Tribolium castaneum: one gene and its partner. The protein of the gene in region 1 purifies or fractionates together with the protein of each later gene. This does not show direct contact. Links are inferred from orthologs where the notes say so. Each region holds a gene or a part of one and is shown on either strand. Other genes may lie near its edges. The genes, in order: ECSIT and 140up.

The links.
Region 2: the proteins of ECSIT (region 1) and 140up purify together in Homo sapiens (affinity purification with mass spectrometry; 3 studies listed by BioGRID and IntAct, counting the BioPlex papers as one, with this or other methods). This does not show direct contact. The link is inferred for Tribolium castaneum from reciprocal best matches to the Homo sapiens genes ECSIT and TIMMDC1.

What each region holds. Positions count from the first base shown.
Region 1 is NC_087396.1:20,767,834-20,771,397, forward strand, and holds ECSIT (evolutionarily conserved signaling intermediate in Toll pathway, mitochondrial), read left to right. Parts: upstream 1-1,683; 5' UTR 1,684-1,836; coding exon 1,837-2,952; 3' UTR 2,953-2,964; downstream 2,965-3,564. Other genes in the region: jupiter microtubule associated homolog 1, read left to right, coding at 1,004-1,390; G protein pathway suppressor 2, read right to left, coding at 2,979-3,367.
Region 2 is NC_087395.1:15,888,307-15,891,580, reverse strand, and holds 140up (RPII140-upstream gene protein), read right to left. Parts: upstream 1,759-3,274; 5' UTR 1,694-1,758; coding exon 1,524-1,693; intron 1,476-1,523; coding exon 1,310-1,475; intron 1,261-1,309; coding exon 1,172-1,260; intron 1,124-1,171; coding exon 990-1,123; intron 943-989; coding exon 713-942; 3' UTR 562-712; downstream 1-561. Other genes in the region: twf (twinfilin), read left to right, coding at 398-553; glucoside xylosyltransferase 2, read right to left, coding at 2,234-2,380, 2,429-2,601, 2,651-2,800, 2,846-3,038, 3,087-3,218, 3,271-3,274.

The DNA of each region.
Region 1 (3,564 bases):
ATCTTATCAGTACTGGTCCGAGAGCTAACTTCCTCCGATTTTCCCTCGCTTTCAATAGGTAAGTTAGTTTTTTGTAAATCACGCCGTATGTATTCGCTCAAAGTTGTCGATAAAAGCTTATTGATTTTTGTAGTGGTGTTCCAGTCGCTTTTGAGAAAACTATTTTCTTTGAAGACCACATCGACGCCCAGATCTGGATGATTTCTGACCACACCGCGGTAAATCGAGCGCTGACTTTTGATATCTGAAAGGAACAATTTAAACGATTTCCAGGCGCCAAATGGTAAGTACCTCCCAGAGACTTTTTTATTCGTATTTTTAAAGGCGGAACGTTTATTTCCTTGATAATGCCATTAATCTCTGCGATAAGCAAGCAGTGTATTATCACCATGATCAGACTTATGAGCGTTTCCATTACAAAATTTGGCGATGAGTAAATGTGGACGAAAATCGTGTGAGACCACAATTTCGCTGCGGACTCAACTAGCGAATTCATTTTTGAAATTTTGACAAGAAATTTTGAGATTTTTAATTAAAAAAAAAAACGTTCCGTAGCAACGCATTTAACAAATATTTTCACCGGCAATTGTTCCCATTTCTCCAATTAATTAAACGAATCGTTCAAACACCACTCCGCTTTCTGATTGGCTGACCTCTAAAAGACCGCGCGTTTGCACCAATCAGATTCACGCCCCGCCTGACCGATCCTCATTTGTTTGGATGCGTAGTACTTTCGCGCAGTTCACTTGTCTCATTTATCCGTTGGCTTGATATTTGATTTTACGACCTCCGACAAAAACGTGCATTTCCGCTTGATCATTCCTTTGTTTCACCAATTTGTTAACTGAAGATTTGTGAAAGAAAATCTTCTAGCCCGGTTTTTAACCCCCGAAATAATCGTAGTGTGTGGCTTTTGAACCAGTATAAACCGGTAAAAACTAACACCAAATAGGTAAGTAACGTTTTTTCCAATTTTGGTAGTTTTTCATTAAAACTTTCCAGAATGACTTCCACTAATATCTTCACGGGGGTGGGCGGTGGCCGTAACTCCAGCCGGGTCTTGAAGCCTCCAGGTGGAGGACATACGGACGTCCTGGGGCTTTCAGCCCCGCCTGAGAGGCCCCAAGAGAAGAAGATCAATCCGAGGAACATTTCTTCCATTACTGAGGGCACGAATGTGAACATGACTGAAGCAAAACCGGTGCAAAAGACTGAAGAAAAGCCGGTTCAGAGGGCGGAAGAAACCCCCAAAGAACCGGTGAAACAAGCCACTGAGGCCCCAAAGCCTTCCGCACCGGCCAATCAAGAAGCCCCGCCCCCGCCACAAAATAACGGCAACTCGCGCGGGCGGGTGCCCCCAGGGGGCTTCTCTTCCGGCGGTTTTTGGTAAACCATGACTTATGTGCTTATACTTGTGATGCTTTGAATTTTTATGACCACTTATTTGCGAATATGTGCAACAGTATTTATAACAATTAATAAATAGTCTCATTTTGGATAACTCGTGTTTCTTTTCCCGTGATAACACCGATAATAGAATGTTTTGTAACGGCTAGAGTCCGTTAAACCCATTCTATTTTTCAAACGGTTTTCATACGTATTGTTGGTTGTATAAATACAATTTCATAAAAACTCGTATTTTTTATTTACGTTTTAAAGGACGGTCAAAAGGGCACAATTTAACCGAAAGAATTTTACGTATTTCATTTTTAATTGTATTTTAAAATGTGGTGACAACGTAACCTCAAAATTACATAACCTATAAACCCGAAGTCTCGAATTTTATCAAACCGGTGGCAAGTATGCCAATTTTAACGATTAAATAAACGAGTTAAAATGTTCGTGACCAGGCTTGTGCCCCTGATGCGGGGCAACTTGCGCATTGTCCCAAAAGTGGGCCCCCTTGCGCGAACATTTAGCGATTCGTCCGAGCCCAAGCAACTGGTGACCTACCGCTCGTTTGAAGAAATCGAAACAAAGAACAAGAACACATACTTGGACATGATCCACATTTTCGTCAACCGAGACAGTGTCCACCGGCGGGGCCACGTTGAATTTATCTACTCTGCGCTAAAAAACATGGAAAGTTTTGGGGTCCACAAGGACCTTGAAGTGTACAAAGCCCTAATAGACGTCCTGCCGAAAGGCAAATTCATTCCGAGGAACATGTTTCAAGTCGAGTTCATGCACTACCCCAAGCAGCAGCAGTGCATTATCGACTTACTCGAACAAATGGAAGACAACGCTGTGATGCCCGACTACGACATGGAGGAGCTTTTGAAAAATATTTTCGGAAATCGGGGATTCCCCTTGCGCAAATATTGGCGGATGATGTACTGGATGCCCAAATTTAAAAACGCGTCGCCTTGGCCCATCCCGAACCCGCTCCCTGACGGCGTGTACGAGCTGGCAAAGTGCGCAATTGAGCGGATCAGCAGTGTGGACATCCAGACACAAGTTACGACGTATCAGAGTAAAGACATCGAGGATTGTGTGGACGATACGTGGATTATTAGCGCGCAAGCCCCCATCCAGAAGGACCTGTTGAAGAGACACGACGTGACGGAGCCTTTGTACGTCGAGGGGCCCTTTCGCGTCTGGCTGAAGCACCAACAAGTGACTTACTTCACCTTGCGCAAAAACGCCAAATTCGTAGCTCCAATCAAAGAGGATCTAGATGATGTCAGTGACATTAAAATCCCCTTTTTCAACATCAAGCCACCCGTGAAAAATCTGACAGTGGTACCAAGTGTCCATGAGCAAGAAGATGGTACTATTCTGGCACTATGTGCTACTGGGACCTCCAGTAAAGACTCACTAGTTTCGTGGATTCGGCATTTGGAAAAGGATAATCCGGTGTTGGCCGAAGTTCCGGTAGTTTTTACGCTTCGGAGCGGAACTAAAGAAATTGTCACAGTTGGCGATGATAGGAAACAAATTGAAAATAAATGAATTAGTTAGTTATTAATTTTTATTTCTTATTCTCTTGGAGGATAATTCATTGGAGTCCCTGGCGATTGATACAACGGCCGACTTTGAGCCGTATAAAGTGACGCGGGGGCTGATTGTTGGTATTGTTGTTGGCTCCTGACGGGGTACCCCGCTGTGATGCTCCCAGTCTTGGGCTGCGCGGGGCTCAAGGGTATGGAGCCCCCATGAATGACGTGTCCGTGCGAACTCGGTACTCTTAGAGTGTAATGTTCGGGTAATTTCTGCTCCAAGTGGTACGTTTGGGGCCGTGGGGGCTCGTAGGCGCTCCTAGAGGGTGGGGGCTCCCGCGACGAGATGGACCCCAAAGGATAATACATCGAAATATCCTGCGGAGAGACCGAATAAAACGTTGCTTGCTGACTCGGATATTGCGTCTCTGAAATTATCGACGAAATTACAACACTGAAAAGTGATAATTAAATGGAAAAAGCATGAATGGGTGGTGATAAATGAAGCCACAACTTTCTCGACTAATGAAGGAAGCTTCCCTTCACCCAGAAAAAATTAAGTGGTGCCTGAGTGAAAAGAACCTCTTCATTATGAATGAAGCTAAAGTGGTGTAGAAACACTCAC
Region 2 (3,274 bases), on another chromosome or scaffold:
TTTTTACTGACAATTTTATTATGCCTTCTTTGTTATGTTTTTGACAACACAGAGTTGTATTGCAGAAAAATTGTTATTTTTCGAACAAAAAACTTAAAGCAAATAAAATAAAAAACACGATAACCATTACTAGATGTTATTTCTTCATCCGGTTTATACTCGAAGTGCTTTTAGTTTTCTTCATGATCTGTGACAAAGTCCCTAGTTTTAAAAATTTCCATTGTTTTCTTGATCTATTATGAGAAGAGAAAAATCTTTTGAATAAACAATTATTTTAGCAGTATTAATAAAAATTTGATGTTGATAAGTAATTAACGAAGTAGAAACAGAATAGAAAATGTTCAATTTGTTGTTCCGCTCGTAGTATTTTACTCATCTGATAACGGAAAAATTTCAGTTGGAAATTGATTCAGGGTCTGAGTTGACCGAAGAGTTCCTGTACGAGGAGATACACCCAACAAAAAATTTGCACCGTCCGAAATTTGCCAAACCGAAAGGGCCACCAAACCGAGGACCAAAACGAATGACAAAGTCTCAAAACGTGGACAATTGAAACGGCGGTTGTATGCTTTATATAAATTATTTATTCGGTTAACATGCGCTCAACTAGCTTTTTCAAACAAATATTTTTGTATTTGAAGCTCATTGTATAAATCATTAAGTAGTATTAACTATCAGTCGCTTTCGTGTTACATGAATACAGTTATCACAATTACTCGGCCACATTTTCTAATGTTTTTCCCGAATTTCCGACTCTCTTATTGTGGTGCTGGACAACTTCATCTTCTTCCTTGGCAAGGTACTCAGCTATACCCTTATTTGTGTAGTTTTGCCGCTCTCGTTGCCAGTGGTACTGCCAGTACCTGACCTCATCCATCGACATCCCTGTCAAACTTAACAAACCTAAAGTGGCACCGCCTGCTATTAAACCCAACACTGCCCCTGGATCAAAAATAAATTAACCAAGGCTTGGCTAGTTGAGAAAATACCTAATCCGCCCCCGACTACCCAGCCCCTCGGACCCATATTCCACTTATACAAGGTACCACTAAATAACCCCGCAACAACGTATTCCAGAATTCCCGATTTCCCCCGGTATACAGAAATTCCAGTTGAAATTGCCCTAATAAATAACAAGGAAAAATACCAACAACAATCCAATCTTCCTTACGTAAAAGACATCGTGAACGAGGCAAGCCTCCACGACCACATCCAGGCCCCCTTCCCGAAACTTTTCGTAACCGCATCTTGCAATTTTTTCTGCACTGGACAAAATTAATTCGCTTAAAAACAGCCAGAGCCGCCATACCTTGGCCTCGAGATGATCAGTAAAAGCCGTGGCTTGGTTGTTCTTCATAAAATTCACATAGGCCACCCTACTGTGCACAACGCCCCCGTAAATGCCCCCCACGAACAAACTCATGCCCCCGACGTGTAAAACAGTGAGTAATTCCTTGCTGACCTCACCAAAGTCACTACAATTGAACAATTAACTACATGGAGCCCAATGGTTTCGTACCGACTCGGCCTCAAAAACCCGCTTCAGACGGTCCCAACCTGTCTCTTCCGGCAAAGTTGATAAATCAACTTTTTGCTCGGTGGGAGTGTCTTGCCTCAACTTATCATTGTCATTGAGAAAATCAAGCGGCCAAAGAGCACACAACGTTGTGGGCTTTAACACTTTTCGCAACATTTTTCAAAAAAAAATAGGTTAGGTTACATAACCTTCAAATTCCCTACATAAAAAAGGCGTAAACAGGTGCACCAACCTAAAAAAATCGCCATCCCAATCTTGGTTTAAACAAAATTTAAAAATGGTCCAACTTATTTTTGGTTTTGTGCTAAAGATTTAGGATTAACGACGTTTATAGTGTTAATAACCGTTTTTACTTTGTGTTCTACGGATATTATTTATTGTTGATCAATTCAGGAGACGAAGATTTTAAAGAATTTTTAGTTTTTCTCAGGTAAATGCAAATATTTCTATTAGCTGTTTCAGAACTAGGAAAACGATAACGTTTCATTTTCTTTCAAAATTATGTTATAAATTATTCACGCACTTCAAAAAAATAGCTAATGTAATTTATACTTTCAGTGAGAGATCTAATCACCAGAAAATTCAAGTGGAGGGCTCAATAATTATTTATTCAGCTTATAAAAGTATAAACTCCACTTGTAAATAAAATATCCTGCATTGATGGACAGCTTCGTTGCATTAACAAACTCTGGCTTACTAACTGGTGTCTTCCATGTTAATGTAAAGTCGCACGTTTTTGAGAAAAATGTCTTTAATATGGCCACAGTTCGTGTTCTGAACTTGTTCCAAAAAGGCTTCAAGCGGTTGGTAAAAATCCTTGAATACATCACCCCCTAGACGGAACTAAAACTGCGTTTTCAATTACAGATTCCTGTAATCGGTAGTAACAACCTCTTCAAAAGCTCTATAAATTGCTTGAAAAACCGGCTGTTTCTCTGAGTGGAAAAACCCGCGAGAACCATGGACCACAGCCACTCCGAACTTTTCCGCCGGCTTACAAACACTCATGTACATGCAGTGGTCAGGTCGGAAATTAAACCTACACGAATATAAATACAATTTCCCTAAAACGAATCACAATTTTATAAAATCGCACCAAAAATGGTCATATACCAGGGTGGTAGTGGAAAATTATATTGATTATGTCCTGGTCGCCCCACGTTATCTTCAATTTGTATTTTCTATAAATGGGGACTACGTACTCACTCCACTGGAACGCCCTCATTCTGGTCAAATTCATTAACATCACGCCGGAATTTACGCCTGAAATTGGGGATTACAAAGTGCAAAAAAGTCACACAATTGTACCCAATTTTCCGTAAAATGGGTGTTTGGCAAAACGGTTGTACCACCCAACGTTTGGGTCCTCATGTTCTGGGGCCAACGCAGCCATCTGACTAGAATTCATCTTGTGGAAATAGCTCCAAATGTTCTCGACTGGCGTCAAAAACAACGTATCTGTATCCATGTACAATAAGGAATCTACGTCTTTTAAAATATTCTAAAAAATAATTTCATAAAATGTGGAAAATATTGAGTAGAGGACAACAGGTAGAAATAATCTCTGGGCTGCACAAGGCTTAAAAAGCCTCTTCCACTCCTCTGCGTCCTTCACAGGAAACGTCAAAGCCATAACTTTGTACGTAAACGCATGGTTTGTTAAAGTTTTCCATTCGCTTAACTGAAATAAACGAGCTAAATTAAAGTCTCTATATTAACGTATTCAAGCCCACTTTT